Linked DNA regions of Caenorhabditis elegans. The protein of the gene in region 1 purifies or fractionates together with the protein of each later gene. This does not show direct contact. Each region holds a gene or a part of one and is shown on either strand. Other genes may lie near its edges.

Region 1 (7,828 bases):
AACCGCTCAAGAAGCTTATAAAGATCGTAAGATGCATGCAAAATTCATGATTTCCGAATCAAGAACCTTCATTGGTTCATCGAATTATGGACCTGAATACTTTTACAAATCAACTGGAACTGCAATTATTGTAGACGAAGAACCACATTATGGAGATATCAATAGACAAATAAAAGCTGTATTTGAACGGTAATTAAATATAAAAAATATTTAAAATGTTTCATTGTCTTCAGATACTGGCATAGCACGTACTCACAAAAACTTCAAAAATACGGTGAATCAAAAGGTTATCTTCCAAAAATTTCAAAACCATCGAACCCATTCTCCGGATGGTTTGGGTTTGATCAAATAGGAGTATTTAATGAGAAATACTCTGCTGACGGACTAGTTTACGAGAAGAACCATGGAGAAGATCAGATTCTCGATCCGCTTATTTTCATTTAATTTCGTGTATAAAATTTCAATTGATAAAATTTATTTTCCGTTTTTTATAGCACAAGAAATAAAATATTCGCACCCGAAAATTCAAAAAAGAAGGCAATTCAATTCTAGATACATACAGACTGGCTAAAAGAGCTTCTTACGATAAAAAAAAACAAGTCTAGTTTACAATTTACAATTCAACTGGATGTTGAAGAGTGAGTCCTCCATTTCCACAGACTTCCTTCGCCAATGATTCAATTGTTGCTACCTTCGAAGCATTCTCAACACCACTTCCGGCATCCTTCAGGAATCTGTTTGATGATTTCATCGCCTGAAAGAGTAAATATCGAAATTAAAACTTAAAATTTGGCAGTTATCAAAAATTACCTTATCAACGTAGTAAGTAGCAACTTTGCGTTCAAAATCAGCACTTGAAGATTTGTTCTTGATGGCATAGGTGGCACGAGAAAGAACAGCGGCAGAGCTGTAAATGTTGATGGCAGCGTCGGCAACACGGTGCATCTCATATTGACGATCTACAAAAATTAAAATTAAAAGCAGTTCAAAGGTATTTTATTACCAATTATTCCCTTTTTATGCTTCATGAGTAATCCTTGAACTGTTTGTCCAAACAAAGCAATTTGCTGATCCAATACTTTAGCTGAATCTTGAAGACTTGCGTCGACGACTTGCCCAAAGTTGGAGCCAGTGTTTCCTCTGAAAAATACAGTTTAATAATTCTAAAAATGTGATTTCACAAACCCGGTAACTCTTGAAACAGCCAACCCAATAAGGCCCCCGACTCCAGAAGCTTGCTCGGCAAGATGCTTTCCAGCATGTTGTGCTCCAGTAAGAGCAATGAAGAGGCGGAGAACATCATTGGCTCCTTCAAAGATTCTGAAGATACGAAGATCTCGGAGAACTCTTTCAAGACCAGTCTCGCGCATGAATCCCATTCCTCCGTGAACTTGAATAGCATCGTCGCATACAAGCCAAGCATTTTCTGAAGCTAGAACCTTGCCGATAGCTGCTTCAAGTTGATACTCCTTAATTCCACGATCCATGTTTGATGAAAGCATATAGACAATTGACTCTGTTGCATACAGTTTCGAGATCATTTCTACCAGCTTTTCTTGGATATTTCCAAATTCTTGAAGTTTCTTTCCAAACTGAACACGAGTGGTGATGTGATCGACAGTCTTCTGGATACAATGTTTCATAGCTCCAGTACAGGCAGCTGGAATTCCGAATCTTCCGTTATTAAGAATGTTCATCGCCACCTTGAAGCCTTCTCCTTCTTTTCCAAGAAGATTTTCAACCGGGATTTTTAAATTATCAAAGTGAACTTCAGTTGTGTTCGATCCCTTGATTCCCATTTTCTTCTCTTGTGGTCCACTGGTGACTCCACCAAACGCTCTTTCGACAATGAATGCAGACATCTTGTCCTTTGTTGAGCCATCGGCCTGCTTGACAGGAGTCTGAATAATCAATTGTGAAAGTTTTTCCAAAAAATGAAAATAAATTACCTGAGCAAACACAGTGAAAACATCGGCGAATCCTCCGTTCGAAATCCAGATTTTTCCACCATTCAAAACGTAGTGCTTACCATCAGCAGACAATTCAGCTCTCGTTCTAACTGACTGAATAAATTTAAAGTTTATGAGAAATTAATAATATTCTAGCTTACACTAGCATCAGATCCGGTAGTTGGCTCGGTAAGAGCGAAAGCAGCAAATTTGCGTCCAGTTGCCAAATCGGGAAGATATTTTTGTTTCTGAGCATCCGTACCCTCGAGAAGGATTCCTTTGTAGCCAATCGACTGATGAGCACCCATGACAACACCAAATCCAAGATCGTAAGCTCCAACAATTTCAGCGACTCTGGCCATCTGAGAATTGTTGAATCCGGAACCTTCAAGCTCTGGTGGAACGAGTACACCAAATGTTCCTAGCTCAGCGAATTGGTCCAAAACTGCTCTTGGAATGTCAGAAGTCTCGTCATTTCTGAAAATAAATAAATTGATCATGTAAATTTAAGATTTATTATTCACTTTACGACGTCATTAACTTCGACAAGCATCTTTTCCAGTGGAGACATCACCATTCCAAGAGTTTCTTTCTGTTCGTCAGTCATATTCAGAGGATACGGAAACACCTGGAAATTGGCAGTTTGAACAGGTCCTGCTAAAATTCTCAAATACCTGGTCAGTCACAGCTTTCCCTCTGAAAAGATTCATGACAAATGATGGACTGTCCACTGCAGCGACCTTCTTCGGTTTTGCATCTTTTGCAGCAGCAGCAGAATGCGAAAGACGAATGAATCGTGTTTGGTTGAGCCGTGCAGATTTACTCAGCGTTGACAGCATCGTTTCTCTGGAAGAAAAAACCAATAATATAGGTTTCAATCAGTGAATCAGTAGGGGGTAAATAGCGATGACGGAGATAAAGAGTGAAGAAAACAACTTGGGGGTCGAACGGTGGATAGAGCAGAGACGCAGCATGTGAGAGAACATAGAACACAGACATAACAATACTTTTTTACACTGAACGTCCAAGAGCAATCAAAATAAATAGAATTCAGAATAAGTTTTATAGAAAAGTATTTAGCATTTTATATGAACGCAAAAAAGAACGAATAGGTTTTTTGCTTTTTTTGGATTACATAAAAGAGTGTTTCATAAAATAAGAAGTTTAAAAGTTAACTAAAAATAACTGGAAACATGGTTTGCTCAGTATTTTTCGTAAATTTTCCATAATAAACTGATTAATCGCCAACATACACAAACGATGGAGAGGAAACGTGGAGGACGGTCATTGTTATCTCTTGTAGACTTTGCCCTATGTACTTTGAACGGCCCTGGCTACGCACTAGTGAAAAGACAATGTGATAAAATACACTTTAGCGCAGGTTCGATGAAATTTTCAAGAAAAACATGATTTTATAGCTCTACGGGTCACCTCATGGTACTGAAAAATTCGTATGAACACTTGTTGTCTTATATTTTATCTTTAACGGCCACAAAATAAATTAAAATAGAAAAAAAACGACAATTACAGAAGTTTTCTGCATCGTACTCTGAAAGAAAAATGAATCCGCAATCTGTCGTCACGGTGTTACGGTGGTGTGTTCACACCGTCGGCACTATATTTGACGGCTCATGTTTTAATGTTTTTTACATCTGAATAAATCTGTACATTATAGAAACGAACCGTATGGAATTTGGAATTCTTTCAATGTACGAAAGTGAACGAGTGAAAATATAAACTAATTTAGCGAATGCACAAGTTTGAAAACGTGTGAATTTTTCGGAAGGCTTTTACGCGAAAAAATAAGCTTTATTTTTTTAATTAAAGAAAGAGAAATGGTTCGTAGAATGGATACTGTAATTTAGCTATTTAACAGTCGACAAACAATCCTTGGTTGTTTAAATATCGGAAAAAATAAATCGACCTTCCATGTTAATTTTATTGAACAGACGACAAGGCGTCATAGGTATTTGATGAATGTTTCTGAATTAAGAGAAATCTGAAACTGGTCTATTAATTTTTGTGCGTGCTTCGCTTCAAAATTCAAAACGAAGGAAATTTATTCGATCATTTTCTATAAGTTGAAACCCAAATACTATAGTATACTATGAACACGTTGTACATCTCTCCCGACAAAAGTCTAGTTTTTATATATTTTTTAATTGAAATTTAAAGCCTTGTATACTTTTTTTGCAAATTATTTAAAACATCTAATAATTATCAGTATGTGGTAATAATTCTTTTAGTGCTTATTTTTAAAAAAAAACTATTGATTTCACCCTCGTTATGTAGTCTGCAGCGTAGTCTTATCAACACATGGGGTCAAGACTACACTGTACCGATTCCTTGTTAGGTATTGGCATTTTCTATTTCATTATTTGGTTTTTGTTTCTTCTCCGACAAATACTTAAAAATGGATAAGAAAACTGCTTGCGCACATGTGGCAGAGCCATGCGAGTTCTCATATTCTACCAGAGATGCTATTATTTATGCTCTTGGAGGTAATTTTTTCTAAGACCTTTTGAATAGTGATTAATAATTTCATTTAGTTGGTGCTCGAGCGAAAGAAGATTTGTGCTACGTTTATGAGAACCATGAAGACTTTAAAGTGCTTCCATCGTACATTGTTGCTCCAGGATTTCAAGCTCACACTTTGATGGATTGGCCAGGAGTTGAATTTGATCTTCAGAGGTTTTTCTTATAAGATTTCTTGAAAACACATGTTTAATCATTTTAGAGTTCTTCACGGAGAACAATATATTGAAGTCTATCAACCACTTTCAGCAGAAGGAAAATTGAAATCTGAAGCTAGAGTCGTTGATATTCTTGACAAAGGATCCGGTGCTTTGATTCTTGGAAATGTTACCACTTATGATGAAAATGGAAAGAAGATTGCAATGCAACAATTCAGTACTTTTCAAACCGGTTCTGGTAACTTCGGAGGGGATCGTACATCACCTCATGAAATAAAAGCTGCCACTGTCCCAGATAGAGCTCCAGATGCAGTTATTGAACAAAAGACAACAGTTGATCAAGCTGCTCTTTATCGTTTGGGATCAGGAGATATGAATCCTCTTCACGTTGATCCAGAGTTTGCTAAGATGTCTGGATTCAAAACTCCAATTCTTCATGGATTGTGCAGTCTGGGATTTGCGACACGCCATGTTATCGCTGCTTGGGCTGGAAATGATTCTGACAAATTCAAAGCAATCAAGGTAGGTTTGATTAAATTTAACTTTAAAATATTTTCTGCTGATTCAAAAATCATTAATTTTCAGGTTCGATTCTCATCGCCAGTGCTTCCAGGACAAACATTGGTTACTGAAACCTGGAAGAATGGAAAACGAATTATTTTCCAAATGAAGGTTAAGGAAACTGGAAAAATTGTAATTTCCAACGCCTTTATTGACTTGCACGAGGCTTCCGAACTTCCAACAGTTCCAATTGATCTTGCATCAAAATTGTAAAAATTTAAAGAATTATTTATTCACTGGTAAGATTAAGTAGATCGTATTAGTTTTATCGTATTTTGTTTCCTGAATATCATATGTGAATAAACCGTTTTTTTCTTTTTCCACAAATTCTCTTGAAGATTATTATTTCCTTTTCTTCTTCCCAACAATATCATTGACTCCTGGGAATGTTACACCAACACCTGTATTCACCCCAACACCAGCCATCGGAACACCAACTCCAAAGTTTGTACCAACTTGACCATTTAGATAATCAACTCCAACGTGTTGATTCTGTTGATAATAAGGTCCAACTCCACCTCCAACATCTACGCCAATTGGTTTTCCAGCCTCTCCAGGTTTAAGGGGAACACTCACCTGAAATATTTTGATAGGAACTTATTCAACTTGTCACACACCGCTTCAAATATTAAAAAATGTACGCAATGCTTCTCTAAACTCGAATTCAAATTATGAACCGCCAAATTTGAAAAAGTTCGAGTAATAAATTTTCTGCATTAAAAAAACTCACAACAGCATGTGTGTCTCCTTCAATACCAAGTGATTGTACAAGTGGAACACTCCATCCAGACTTATATCCATATTTTCCTTCATACCAATTTGCTCCGATTTCTTGATATTGTGACCAATAGTCTCTTACACCAATATGATCGGAATAACCTCCTCCCCATGAACCAAATGGAACATTCATGAGCCTTCCTGCTCCAATTGCTCCTTCTTCGTTAATTGGATAGTACGGAATTCCTTTCACACTCCATGTTCCCAAGTTGAGACCTACATTTGAATCAAATGCATATGCAATATTATAAAGTGGATCTGACTTTGGAAGGAATCGTTGACAATCCTAAAGTAAAACCATTCAAATATAATATAAATTCAATTTCTAGAAACTCACATGGAAGTATCCCTTACATTTGCTTCCATACTTTTCCTCTGTCTTATTCCCACCGAAACAATGCTTCCTGACAGTTGGTAAAAATCGATTGCACAGTGCTTCCAAGTGTAAAGCTTTTCTGTGTACATCTGCATCTTCTGGACGTGGTTCAATTGCTGATGGTGGTCTATTCACAATCATTCCTCGAACATCAGCTGCCTTTGCCTTCTGATCAATCTGTGACTTATCAGTTATACCTCCAAATGGTGAACTGAAATATCAGACGATTATGAATATTTTCTGAATTATTAGAGGTACCTTGGTCTCTGAGATACTTCACTGTTATCAATATCAGCTCGATCAACTCCAAGAGCAGAGCTCCTCAATCCAAATTCTTCCATATTTTGTGCAAATCGTTGTTTTTCCTTTTCTTGTTGAGCAAGAAGTTGGTTATAACTTTAAAATAAAGTTTTGAATATTTCCAAAGTTTCAATTACTCACCGACTAACATGTGTATTAATTGCATACTGCTTCATTCGATCGAAATAATCCTGATAATATTGGTCTGAAGCAGCCTGTCGAGCCTTATTCGCTTCTTTTCTCTGTTGTCTCCATTGTTCCATCTGTCTCTCGTAAGCATCATCGTAACTTGGACGCCGATGTCTGGAACATATAACTTATTTCTGGATCTTCAATTATCTCGCTCACCTATGCCTTCTTCTAGGTTTTTGGGTTGTCTGTTCTACTTGTCCCCGTGCGAATTCACTTGGAGAATGATTATAAACTGGTCTTCCAGGTGATGTGTCTCTAAATTGATTAAGTTATAAGACAATATCGGAATTTTTTTGGCAACTTTTTTACAGATTTGTCGAGCATAAAATTAATATAAAATTTGAAAAATATACTCACAAGACTTGTTTACGCTAAAAGACTTATCTATAAGTTTATTAAAAAATTCCGCGGAAATAAAAATTTTCAATAACTTTTTCTTTTTAAGCTTACTTTGAAATTGGAATTGGTTCACCTCCATCCTGAGGTCGAGCTTCACTTCTCCAAATCAATAAAATGAGGAATGGAAGTAGTTGACGAAACATCGTCAAAAAAGCTGAGAAGACAAAGCAGTACTGAGTTTAACTGATAAGGTTAGTTAGCAACAAAATAATGATTACTGCAGAGGGTTTCTCGACGTCTTCACTTCAAGTCAACCGCCCGTATGACCTTGCTGACCGGTAGAAAATAATAGATGATGTTGTAGTTTGTATAGCCTCCTATTGTCTAAGCATTGATAATAATCCTATGGTTTGTGATTAAGAGAATGATTGGAATTACATTGTGAACCAAGTGCGTGTGAAATCAAATATAAAATAAATTCCCAGAATCCTTCGTGTTGAGTCATGTTTTTTAAAGGGTTTTAAAATCTCAAATTATCTCAAATTATCTGAAAAACTTTCAAGGTACTATTTCGATAATACTGAAAATGCTTCAAAAAATCAGTTTCCCCAGTCGGGAATTTTTTGATATTTCTGGGAAAA
Region 2 (7,362 bases), on another chromosome or scaffold:
TTTAATTTTGTTTTGAAAACTAATGAATTCGATCAAATATTTTTCAAATTTCTAAAAAATTTAAAATTCGCGAAAACCTCGTATCTTCAAGTTTCTTTTCAAAATGGGTGTTCTTTTCCCAGCTCGTCATTTTCCCACATTAAACTTGAAAATCACCGCCAGTTGCAAATAGGCCACTTGTGGTTTGGCGTGCCAGGTTTTACCCAAAAAAAATATGTTAGTTAGCGCCCTTAAGAAAATGGGTGGAGCCTGGGGGAGCCTCTGAAGAGCAACAGCAACGTCTCGAATTTCGTAATGCACTCGATTTTTGCACCAACAACTCCGACAGCTGGTTCAAGGGGGGTGGGTGGTGGTGGGGTTGATGTGAGTGTTTGAGCATCAGACGGGCAACGGGCTCTTTTTGTTGGTGGATCCGATTACTCTGACATTTGACCTACTTTCTCCCATTTCCGGCATTTACAAAGTTCTCGTCATTTTAATCGCTTAATCATACTTGTTTTTGGAAAATTTTTGGCATTGGTTTAGGCTTAGGCTTGGGCCTTAGACTTAGGATTAGGATTAGGCTTAAGCTTAGCCTTGGGTTTAACCTGAGGTTAAGCCTTAGGCCTTGATTTAGACCTAGGCTAAACCTTATTTGTTGACATATTCTGACCGAAGCCCATTATGTCCCAAATTCTTTTCCTGATCCATTTCCCCCTTTTTCAATTAAACCCAATAAATCATTAATTCATTTTACAACACTTAAATTTTTGAGAATCTTCTGAGAAATCACGTGCCATGTCAGAAAAATCTTTTAATTTATTTTACCATCTCAATTATTTTGTAACTGGAACTGATTTTTTTTGTATTTTACCAAAAATTCACAACTGAACATATTTATGATAGTTCTTTTTTTTTCAAAACTTGATAACTTTTTTGAATTTCAAAATATCGAACTCTTTTTACTACAATACAGTAAAAAATGTAATTTAAATAGTTTTTTCACAATAAAGAATAATGCAAGTCATAGTTTTATAGAATTTTTCGGTTCATTTTAACTAATTTTGCACTTACCACCTTGCTAGTTTGTATCTTATTTATATTTTTTATACATGTTTATATTGAGTTCATTGAACCATGTTAAAACCCAGTTAAGTTTTCAAAGTTCCGAGAAAAAATATGCCCTTCTCTATAACTATTCTTGTACTCGTTTCATACTCCGAATCAGCCTATTTCAATTCTCAACTCTCACAATTCCAGATGCTGTTGGTTTTATTGTTCAGCCTGTTCTCTGTCGGATTCGGTATGCGCGTGATGCGTCGTGAACTGCTCAAAGATCAACCGACGGTACTTCTTCTGGGTCCCCTGGAGGTTCTCACTTCCTCCTCCTCCGAAGACGACACTCCCGATTTCCCATCACTCCGCGATAAACGAGGCGTCGATCCGATGAGCATTCCGCGGCTCATCAAAGAACCGCCGTTGAAGAAGCGGAGCGGGGATTTTAAACGAGGTGACGTCGTCTATCCGTCGGCTGCCAAACAGACGGTTCCGCTGGTTCGTGTGAGGGAGCCACCTCTTAAGAGGGGACAAAGTGAGTTTTTTTGTTGTTGAGAAAATGACTAATTCAATTTTTGATTCTTTTTTCAGTGTTCCTTGAAGAGCTACTCCAGTTCAATGATGACGCCCACAGACAATTTATGGATCCACTGAGAAGGATACGGTAGGTTCTTTGATTTTTCGCCCACGCAAATCAAATGCCTTAAATCGCTTCTAATAGGCAAGCGTCTCTGCCTACACTTAGGCTTGCAGTATTTTGCTGATTGCAAGCCGACAAAGAGAACGTTCGGCCACAAATTTGTACTGAAGACACGTGGTCTTCGTAAAAAAGAGAAAGTGTTGGCCGTGAAAATTTTTGTGAACCTAGGCCACGTGTCAACTCACGGAGCTCCACACGGCCGCGAAAAACAAGTCTGTGGCCGAGCTTTCTGCCTGCGTGCTTTCAAAATTATCTGAATGGTCGGCTTACTTCTTTCATTTAAAAAAATATTTTTTTCGCAGATATGGCCCAAACCGACTAATTTACACGTGGTAGAACATCTACAGAGAGCATCATCATCAATTTTTTGGTCGAACTGAAATCCATCAACAGTTGAAATACTCTGAAAAACACAACAACAATTTCAAAAGGAAACCTTAATTTTTTTGTGCACATATTTGGGTACGACACTTTCCGTTTTTTTTCTCTATATTATTTGCCCTTTCCCATTCCCCAGACCATTCCTCAGAACCCCCTTTTCCCCTTCCATTTCTTTGTCGAGAACAATAAACACGTGGCAGAGTTTGAGATTGTTAAATGGTTCGATGAGTATTTTGAATTATCAGGAAAGACGTTTCCAATTTTTAAAAATTAATATCTGGCTTCAAACTAACTTTTTCAAACATCCCCGTAGCCATTCTGTTGCAAATTTTGTGTTCATTCAGAATGTAAAAAAAACCAAATAAAAAAAGTTTCATATCCGCTAAGTTCAAGCAGAAAAAGTGGATTTTCAGTCATAAGTTTTAGTGCACAAATTGAGATTGACTAAAGCCGACCATTTATATGCAAAATTTAGGGCTCTCATGAGGTCGCCGTAACGGTGCCTGCGCCTGCCTCATGGCGTCACCTCGCCGCATGTGTTAAAAAGCAGCGGCCGACGACCCACGGGTTCCACATTTGTTTTGATATTAAGACTCAACAATTCTTTCATAAAATCTTTATTCTCTCAATATAAATGCAACAAGAATCAATAGAAAAAACAGGAAACCGTTGTGGGAATGGGTATCTTTGTTAGGGGGAACTATAATACAATCTCATGGCACATGGAATTCACTTTGGGTCTTGGCAACGAAGTGTCGTTGCAAAATAAAAAAAATATAAGTTACTTAGTATTTCCATCCTTAACATTATCATAGAACAAGTTGCCTCTCTTTGTCTGTTCCAATTCAATAGACTCGAAAAGAGCCTTAAAGTTACCGGCTCCGAATCCTTCATGATTCTGTCGCTGAATAATCTCCAAGAATAGTGTCGGACGGTCCTGGCATGGCTTACTGAAGATTTGGAGCAAATACCCATTCTCATCGAAATCCACCAAAATGTGCAACTTCTGAAGACGATCCATATCCTCCTTAACTACCATTGAAGAAGCCGCGAGACGTTCCTTGAGGTTATCGTAGTAGCTTGATGGAATGGAAAGGAATTCACAGCCACGGGCTCGAAGAGCTTCAATTGCAGTAATGATGTCGGATGTGTTGAGTGCGATGTGTTGAACACCGGATCCTCCGTAATAATCCACGTATTCCTGGATTTGGGAGATTGCCTTTTTGTCCGATGTGGCTGGCTCGTTGATTGGCATCTGCAAAATTTTTGTATTAAAAGTTTAAGCATTTTCTATGTTATTCAGTGTTTTTCAGAAAATAATTTAAATTATTTTGTCAATTTTCTGGAGAGCCAGAAAAAAAAACACAATTATTTGAAAATTCAATTATTTTCCCAAAAATCGAATATTTAAAACATTCGTCGTATTCAAATTAAAAAATGGTTTCTGAAATAGATGTTGAAAATGTTTAGATACTCAGTATTCCATATTCAAAATGCCCTGGAGGACTACACGAAAATTACAATTATTCATTTCCCACGTAGAGTACACAATTGTTCCACAAGAAAAAAAAATTAAAACCCGCGATATGTCGGCTGCTGTTATTTTTCTATTGATTATAAAGACTAACTAGCAACCGACATCTCATAGGACACCGTATTTACCAAATCGATATCTTGATTTTTTTTTGTTGAAAATTACTAATATGTATTTTCCACAAGAAATCTTGCTATAATTTTTTGAATTAAAAAAGGTCGTGCGTCTTTTTAAAACCCGCGATTTGTCGGCTGCTGTTTCTTTACAATAAAAACTAGCAGCCGACATCTCACAGGACAGCCGCACTCCATCGATCTCTTTATATTAACTAACCTTAATAGTCTCCTCGAAATTCGTTACAACAATGGAACGAAGAGCCGAGTACTCGGTATGAATCATGGAATCATCAACAGACCAGAATCGATGGAATTTCAGCACCTTCTCGTACCACTGAACAGCTGAGTCCATTTGCAAGTCTGGCTGATTACCGACACAATGATCGAGGAAGTTCAATCCAACGCGTGGAAGAGTCTTGAAGAATGTGGCTGGCATTGGATGAGCCTTGAAGCCGGGCAGGAATGCTCCACGATAATTTTTACGTTCCAGCAAGGTGTGGTCGGTTTCTCCATACTAAAAATAATATTTCATTGTTTGGATTATTAGAAATTTGCATTTCTCGTCAAAATTTTTTCTCAAAAATTTTTTAATTCCACCAAATTTTCCTGGTCAATCTTCAGTGCAATTTAACAACTTCGGAATTTTTGAAGATATTTTTATTTTTAAGTCTCTTACCGTTCTAAGCGTAGCATATCGAATGGATCCATCAGCATCTGACTCTTCAGTAATATCATGCACAATAGTTGCTCCTGCAGCTTTTGCGTGTGCAATAATCGAATCAAGATCCTCAACCTCAAAGCACACATCCTTAACTCCATCTCCATGTTGAACAAGGTGATTTCCGAGTTCTGAATTATCAGGCAACAATGCTGACTCGAAAATGAACACGATTTTGTCTTGTCGAATAGCGTGTTGAGCAGTAATTCTAGATCCTGTCTCGAGCCCCTTATAGGCAAATGGCTCAAAGCCAAAGTTTGCACAATACCAGTAGGCAGCTTGTTTAGCATTTCCGACTACAAATCTAACATGGTCGAATGCAACAAAAGTGCCGATATCTGGTTTTGCTCCTTTGTCGAATGTAGTCATTTTGATTGAAGTTTTGAGTTTTCTGGAATTTATAGAGTTTAAGGATAAAAAAGGAAGAAAAAAGTCCAGGGGGGTGGGCAGCAATTGCAGTTCGGCAAATTTTTTTTTCGAAAAAATTCGGCAAATTGTCGGTTTGTGGACTTGCCGGAAACTTTGATTTTTGACAAATTGCCGAATAACAATTTGCCTGAAGTTTTTAAAGGGATGTTTTATAAGACGGAAACTAAGCCTTTTTGGAAATTTTTTGCCCGTTTTTTCGAAATCTTTTCATGGAAATTTTTTGCTTTTTAAAATAGATGTAGGAGCATTCATAGGATACGTACAATTATGCAGAATTAAATTGATAATCTTTGCCGATTTAAAAATGATAAAATTGATAATCTAAAATTTCCAAAAAAAAAATGTGCACAGCCACAATTTGCCGAAAATATTCCGTAATTACCATTTTTGCGGCAAATTAGCAATTTGCTGTTTTGACGGAAGTTCTAAATTCTGTCAAATTGCCGGTTTGCCGAAAATTTCCATTCCGGCAATTCAATTTTTGTTCAAATGTTCTATATAAAAACATCAACTTGAGTTACAGATAATTGCAGATTTAATGTTAAAAAAATTGGCCCGCAAGTCGTCTGCCGCTTAATGAACGGAAAAAATACACCACATCTTGTTAGTAAACGTTTTGAAATTTAAACTCTTTCTGGAAAATCCCTTAACCGGCATTGTATGTCTTGAAAATTGGGGTGGCATAAGGGTTGTCTAAAAACAATATCGAAATAAAATTTTTTTGGAAATATTTTAAAACTAGGTAAATATAGTTTACAAATAGTACTGTATAGTAACAAATGTAACATAAAAGCTTTAAAACTATGTAGCATATGAAAAAATTCATTTGACAAAGCTTTGTAGTTTAAAATTTATAAATATCTACAATATGAACCGAGATACAACTCGCCAAAATGAAAGAGAGAAAGAAGAAGAAAAAACTGTAAACAACATCTGAGTGCTAGTAGACTATAGTGGCACTGTGTTACTGCACATAATGCAAGTGCCGACTTTTATAGCACCCTCACGCAAAATTCGGATCGTCACGAATTTCGTCGTCGTCGACAAACTGAAATGAGTCGACGTCGAAAGGGGCGGGCTGGGGGCGGGGGAAGTTGGACACGTGACATTGAGGAGACCACAAATAGTGATGCAATGTGGTCAAAAGAAACTGATAACGCACGTGGGTCGGCATCGTTTCGTTGAAAGATGCTGCTGCTGTGGAGACCCTAATTTGGCGACGAAACTCTTTGAAGATCGGAAGATGCTTGAGGGGAGGGGTGAGAAGAATGGTGAGGTGTCATGGGAGTTTGTAGTCGGAATATAGATGTATAGTATTTTGGTATATGATCTTATCAATGAGATCGAGTAGATCAAATCACACGGACTAACTGTTCAACGTTCTTCAAATTTGCGGGAAGTTCAAATTTTAAAGAAATTTTTTTGGCGGGAAATTCAAATTTTTTGAAAAATAATTTTCAGCGGGAAAAAATTTTTGAGAACAATTTTCGGCAGAAAAACTTAAATTTTCTGAGGTAAAAATTTGGCACGAAATTCAAATTTCTGATAAAAATATTTTTGGCGGAAAATTCAAACTTTGTGAGAAAGACAATTTTTAGTGGGAAATTCAAATTTTCTGAAAAAAACACCCGATTTTTGTTTCACTTTTTTTTGTTTCCGGGCTCACTTTTGTAAAGCTTGAGCAAAAACAAGTAAGGTAAGTATAGTGCCACGTGGCAACATTATTTTAATATGATATCAATAGAGATATGATAATGAATCATTCTCTGTCTACATTTCATCATCATTATCCGCGTTCTTCCACGCGTACCCTTATAAATCAATGACACCACCACCCGGTTTATCAAGATAGGCAGGATTCCTGACCCATCATTTTCCAATTGACACGTTTTCAGTCAGCATGACAAAGAAAACCATCACCTGAAATTCATTTTTGGTGTTGTTTCTGTCTCCTATCTTACACACACATACACTTAATTGACATAACATGTAACTATATCGGGAAAGGAAGCGACGAAATACTTTAGAGATTCAGGCAATCACAGACATTGATATGGTGATAAGAGATTGTTTGCATTGCAAGAGAGAGGGCGAATAAAAAAAGAAAGAAAACGAGGTTGTTCAAGGAAGCCGATCATCAGAATGACGGTGTTGAATTGAAAATAGGCGTCAGTTATGTGGGTGGAAGTCTGCACGTAGTACAGGTTGCAGAGGGGGGTAATAGCTTTATGGTTTAGAAATCAGTGTGAATGAGTTTTGCAATACTAACAATCCATGGTGCTATTTCTGAAACGATTGATCTGCATTGGGTAGTCTATGACGCCTCATCAGAGTTTAAGTAAATTTAGTTAAGCTGAGCATTTAGTATCATTAGGGCAACATTAGGGGTACCTATCCAACTTTAAACATATCTTCAAAAAATGAATAAAATTAGCCAGATGCTAGGCCA
Region 3 (5,985 bases), on another chromosome or scaffold:
TCCGAAAAGTGGCCCATCTCCTCCTCACCCTCCTCCTTCTCACTCATTCCCTCCATCTAGCCCCTATTTTGCCCCCTAACGAGGGATCGAAACAGAGATGAGGGAGGCCGATTTCAGGTGAAAGTGCTGGCGCGGTGCGTCACGAGAAAAGTGAAATGAGTGAAGAGCGAGGATCCAGGTCATTGGGGTGGCCTTTTCCTTCTCTCGTATTCCCTTGTTGTCTGTCTCGAAGAAGCCGTGTACGATATGTTTCTGTCTCTCTCATTTTCTCTGTCTGCCTCGTAACCCGTAGGCTTCTTCACATGATCTCTTTTTACTTCAACAAGATTCTGCGGAGCGTCGTTGTCAAGAAGGGAAACATAGTGAAGGAGACGGTGACTGTAGGATGAACGACGATTTTCTTTACCGACTAGTTTACTTTCGTTCACTTTCCCGGACATTTGCAAGAAAAAACACATCGGTAGGAAGAAGCAGAAAAGATGATGTGTACACTATTACTGTATGAAAAGAAACGTGTACAACGCCACACTTACTGTCATTTCACCTTTTGACGAGTCTTGATGAAAACGAAAGGTCCAGCTTAAGAGGATGATCAGGAGAAAGAATAGGGATGAAGTATGAATTTTGAGGAAAAAGCTAGAAACAAAAAAGAAATGAAAAAACGAGTAAAGCTCCGTGCAAAATTGAAGGATCGGTTACGAGGTAATTGGAAGGTTTGTATGGAAACCGAAAAAATCTGAGAAGATGATTAATGGCAAAATTCAGTTTCCAATCTAAAAGTTCCCAACAATTTCAACCAGGAAATAAGGAAAGTGGATATTGTTATGGAGTCGTCGGGTCAGATTTGTTATCGCTTGTTCGGCGGCGCAACCGATCCTTCATCGTCATTGTTGCATATCTCTAAAGCTAGTGGCGATTCGCGTCATAAAAGTTATCACATTTGCAAGAGATAATGATTGTGGTGTCATTCGTCAATATCAACACCTTAGAGTAGACTTTGATAAAAGAAGAAGATGATAGCGATATCAATAAAAAAAGATTGGCATTTTGTTAGTTGTTTATATGTATGAGTTGGTGGCAATTTAATCAAATGATGACTACGACCTGTGAAGAAATCATAGAAATTCATTTAAATAGTGCTGAAATTACCCAATATTTTAACAAAACGTTTCAAAGTATTTTATTTCCAGTCAAATTAAATTTGCACCAGGTACCGAGAAATCTAATGCAATGTTGCATGTTCAGACCGTACAATGTTGAAATATAAATGATTAAACATGATTAGCGGGCAAAACTGTGACAGTTTGTTGATCGTTTATGTATTTTTGATGCTATAAACTTTGAACTAAAAGATGGATAATTTAGCTTTGGCCTTTAAACCCTAGTAAAATGTCGAAACATTTTGGTCTGCACGGAGTACATGAAATCAATATTCAAGTTACAAGAACAGATTTCCAAAACACCTAGTAGAAATCGGAAAACATATAAAATGGAAAAGCATGTACAATTTTTTAAGCCATATAACAGAAACTTTTTTTTTGAAAAGTGACAATATAGGTGAATGACCCAATAAAAGTGCGTTCGGTGAAATTTTGCTTGAGTTGAAGAAAGTATTTGTTTGCACACTCGCATGAATAGATGAGACCCAATAATATAGGTCGGATGAAACACCTTCGGATTTCAAATCTCTTCACCTCTTACTGTTCTGGGTCGTGGTCACCAATAAAAAAGCATGTTTCACTTTCGCCTCTTCCACTACTACAACAAATATATTGGCGCGGCCGGGAGACAGCGTCGATCCTACGCCGGTGGCATGTCGTGTCAGAAAAAAACGCAAGACGGTCAGCGAGATTATGGAAGAAAAATGGAAAACGTTGGTTTTTTCTCTAAAAAAGGAAAGTTAGCTAGTGGTGGTATGCGCGGACAGTATTGGAAGCGTCATCAAGATGCGCAACACTTAAAATTTTTGGAAGATAGCATCGCCGAATATTTGGCCTCAAAAAAGCCATCTTTAATAGGCTGAAGGAGGCGATAGTGAATATGGAAAAGTGAAATACTTTTCAAAAATAGTTAGTAAGGAGGTGCATACTGAAAGTTTAACTTTATTCTCAAAATTCTGAAAATAACAAGACGTTTTCAATATATCGTCTATTACAATAATCTCATTGACATCTAAATTCAGAATACCGATATTTTTGTATGATTTCTTATAAATGAAATATTGCTATTAATTTCATACTACAAACAACTTAACACAAAAACAATAAACTCTCCGATTATCTGATAACTTTTAAAATATTGTGGTCTACTACGGGTCAAAGGAAGCTGAGCTCAATTCGGATAGATACAAGTATCAACTAATTTTTTCTATTCATCTAGGCAAAATATGTTTTCATTACAAGTAAAGTTGTGCAGAATTACATTAGCACCGACCGGCTCGCAAACTAAATATTAAAAATTGCAAATTCCAAAACTCCAGAAATGAACCAGAAATTTTCAAATTTTTGTTCCAACTGGTCAGTGCCTCAAGTTTTTAACATGTTTTTTTGTAATCATAATTTTGCTTGTGTTTTTGCCACATGAGCTGTTTAGAGTCCTGTTACCTGGCACCTAGAAATTGTTCGTTTTTTTAATAGTTTGAGAATAAAAGTTTTAAAAAATATAGTTTTAGACTTAAAATTTTATGTGATCAAATTTTTTAATCAAGTGTGACGCTATTAATAGAAAATTTCATTTCAAAACTGATAATGCGAATTCAATCGAAACATAGCTTTTTAGAATGATTTAACTTATACAAATAGTTTTTAAAAGGCAAATTAAAAATTAATGATTGCAGTCTCTGCTCTCTCCAGGAAGGATTCCTTCTAAATTCCAAATTCCAATATCAAAAGTCTTCGGTGTGTCAGTGTCCGAATAAATGTAGTTGTTTGGCAATTCAAACTTCCAACGTCTTTGGCATGGCTGAAAATAAGTTTTTGTGTTGCATGAATAATTAGAAACTTACATTAATTCCGTCATCACAATCGTGGTAGATTTTCAGGTGAGGATCAATAGTTGTGAGTTCCGTGGTGGATCCACTCAATTCGAACTCTCCGTTTGCGTTTGTATAGCCGCTACCCAAATCATCATCAGGGTCGGATCCAAAGTCGTCATCTATCAGCTTTACTTGAACATTTTTTACTGGAACATTGCCACATCTAAACGCGCCTTTCACCTGAAAAAAACTGTCTAAATAATTTGAATTTCTGATAAAGCCCACTCTGTAGTTTTGACGTCCAGAGTGCGATTCCGATGCAGCCAAGACAACTGATAGAACACATGTTCCAAGGATCAAAAGTTTGGAAATCATCTCTGAATTATACAAATTTTAATAAGGAAAATTAAAAAAAAAAGATAGAAAAGTTGGTCAGAAACCAAACATTAAAGATGACAACAATTTTAAGAACCATATTTATTTGTTAAAGTTGAACATTATTCAGTTAGTGAGCACAGCTTCTACTTTCGTTGTCCAATTCGATCTGAAAAAAATATGATTGATAATTTTTGACTAGAAAATTAAATTTGCCAGCTTTTCAATCATTGCGTTCATTTGAACTTGAAAACAATTACTGAATATGATTATTAACATTGTTTTTTAATAATATTGCTAAACATTGTGAGGGGGTTCTTTTTGCCGACCCACCTTCACTTTAACTCAATGCAACTTAAAGCAAAATACCCACGGACGACACTATGCAGCGTTCAAATCAGCATGTCAAATTTATATTACCGTATATTCTCTATTAGTTTTGCACCTCTATTAGTTTTGCATCAAATTAGGTGTCCGAAAATTAGTTTTGCACGCCTTACTAATAGAGGATATACGGTAAATATAAAATAGGCTATACAAGGATTTACATATAGGTTGAGCCGCACACCTATATATCGAATAATTTTTCGAAAACTTATTATAAAACCTGATAAAAACACAAAACAATAAAAAGGTACGGTACACGGTTTCGTTCCCCCCAAAATGATTTTTAATTATTTAACACTACCTTTTTAATTTTAATCCACACGTGAATGTTTATTTTAATACTGTTTTCATGTTTAGGCTTAGAAAATAATTTCCCTAAGCCTGAGAATGAAGAAAAAGTTCACGTCTCAATTAGAAAATATGGAAATCACTTTGGGGGGGGGACGAAACCCATAAATACCAAAAGTACTTTTAATCAATCACCAACCTCCAAATTTAAAACTCCTAGATCCATGATTTCCTTCACTTCTGGCCCATTAGTAATGTATTTTGCTGGTATCCGGATAACCCATTCTCGTTGGCAAGGCTGAAAAAAGGTTAAAAATTAATATTACAAATTGGCACCTACGCTTCCTTGATCATTGCAGTCATGGAAAATTCTTAGTTCTGGATCAATTGGTGTCAGCTCCATTGAAGACCCAGACAACAGAAAGTTTCCATCGTCATCGGTTGTTTTTTGATCCAATACATCGTCTGGGTCTGGGCCTAGAAATTCAATTGGTACGTCACAAACTTGCAATTAATCGAGGATCACTAACCATTATCTTCATCAAAAAGTTTCAAGTTCACACCAGCAGCTGGTTTACTTCCGCACATGAGTCTACCTTTGACTCCAGTCGATTGAGTACGGAATGCAAATGCTCCACCGATTAATAGTAATGTAAGAACTAGAGTCTTCATCATCTATTACTGAAATTTAAAGTTGAATTTCATATTTTTGGGAAATAATCTAGTTTTCGAGAAAAGGTATCAATTGTCAAGAAAAAATATTTATTGAAAGAGACGAAATGTTGAGTTAATGAAGTAGATAACGAAATGTTGACAGTTCCGAGAAAATTTAAGTCAAACACAATAAAATCAAAATTGAGTGACAGTGTTGTTCAAATTTTGATAAATGGATTTGGGTCACTTGTCTGAACTCACATTTCCGAGTATAGAAATCATGAACTATTATAGAGTAAAAAGTACAAATTTCTCTGTGCAAAACCGAATGTTTTTTTTTGGTTTTTGAAATTTTTAATTGTTTTGAGACCCAACAGACCCCAACATGTTTGTTTTTTTGATAAATTACTGAAATGGTTAAAAAATCTTTTGTGGCTGATCAATCAATTCACAAAAAGCATTTAAATAAACGGGATAATGTTAGATAAACACACAATATATACAAGAAGTAATGATAAAATAAAAACGATTTTCCAAATTGTACTACACAAAAAGTTGTCAAAACTGGAGAATTTAGTTAAAACTGTTTATTCTAAATTTTGAACCACCATAAAAATTTTGAGAAACTTTTGAAAAGTCTCATTTTGAATATTGTTTATTTGAGCACATTTTACGTACGTACAAGCAAAACAAAAACCAGAACCTCCTCCTTTATGGTGTCTTATTTGACGTTCAGAAAAAAAGTCATTGGACTTTTAGTCTTTTGAATCATATTCAAAAAAAAAAAATAGAAAAATAATAATCAAACAAAAACTGGAAATGGGGTTAAAGTCTAACGTCTATAATTAAATGTTTTCTGAAAGTTATAAAATCAAAGATAAAACGCGATAAAATATCATAATCAATACGCGAGGTCAAGTGATAACGTTGAAGAAAGTGGTTGTGAAATGAGCTAGTGGGGTGCCATAAGGCGTCGTGTTGACCGAAAACAAGACGACAGTTGGTCCGAAGACTCTCGATTTATTGCATTACGAACGTTTGGAAAGCCACATGGTTCAATAGGAAAATGAATTGAAGAGATCAGATTGATTCATCAGTTTGCGATATTTGATAAATCAAGAGAAAGATTAAGTATATTTCGACGGCGTAAACTCCAGTTCCCATCTTCACTCGGTAAAGGTGCAGAAGGCAGAACTTCATCTGGGATATCTAAACTAGTAGAGTTTTCAGCTACATTCGCAGAAACTGTTGCAACTTCTGGGGGCACAGTTGTTGTCTTCGTGTGTTTCGTCATCTTAAATTACATA

What was found.
Region 2: the proteins of maoc-1 (region 1) and hpd-1 fractionate together in Caenorhabditis elegans (co-fractionation; one large-scale study listed by BioGRID). This does not show direct contact.
Region 3: the proteins of maoc-1 (region 1) and ttr-35 fractionate together in Caenorhabditis elegans (co-fractionation; one large-scale study listed by BioGRID). This does not show direct contact.

The regions. Positions count from the first base shown.
Region 1 is NC_003280.10:7,191,976-7,199,803, forward strand, and holds maoc-1 (MaoC-like domain-containing protein), read left to right. Parts: upstream 1-4,300; 5' UTR 4,301-4,362; coding exon 4,363-4,450; intron 4,451-4,498; coding exon 4,499-4,640; intron 4,641-4,686; coding exon 4,687-5,164; intron 5,165-5,227; coding exon 5,228-5,416; 3' UTR 5,417-5,520; downstream 5,521-7,828. Other genes in the region: E04F6.4 (PLD phosphodiesterase domain-containing protein), read left to right, coding at 1-189, 234-444; acdh-12 (Very long-chain specific acyl-CoA dehydrogenase, mitochondrial), read right to left, coding at 614-754, 811-959, 1,004-1,140, 1,186-1,901, 1,950-2,063, 2,111-2,426, 2,474-2,577, 2,624-2,788; E04F6.6 (uncharacterized protein), read right to left, coding at 5,546-5,779, 5,934-6,266, 6,318-6,567, 6,615-6,752, 6,798-6,959, 7,005-7,103, 7,299-7,390.
Region 2 is NC_003281.10:10,533,039-10,540,400, reverse strand, and holds hpd-1 (4-hydroxyphenylpyruvate dioxygenase), read right to left. Parts: upstream 4,876-7,362; 5' UTR 4,854-4,875; coding exon 4,443-4,853; intron 4,281-4,442; coding exon 3,984-4,280; intron 3,372-3,983; coding exon 2,898-3,371; 3' UTR 2,718-2,897; downstream 1-2,717. Other genes in the region: nlp-68 (Neuropeptide-like protein 68), read left to right, coding at 1,240-1,570, 1,627-1,699, 2,038-2,071. UniProt on the Caenorhabditis elegans protein: Key enzyme in the degradation of tyrosine.
Region 3 is NC_003284.9:6,509,651-6,515,635, reverse strand, and holds ttr-35 (Transthyretin-like family protein), read right to left. Parts: upstream 3,352-5,985; 5' UTR 3,350-3,351; coding exon 3,260-3,349; intron 3,215-3,259; coding exon 3,005-3,214; intron 2,962-3,004; coding exon 2,824-2,961; 3' UTR 2,718-2,823; downstream 1-2,717. Other genes in the region: ttr-36 (Transthyretin-like family protein), read right to left, coding at 3,480-3,518, 4,224-4,322, 4,365-4,501, 4,555-4,699; glr-8 (Ionotropic glutamate receptor L-glutamate and glycine-binding domain-containing protein), read right to left, coding at 5,772-5,972.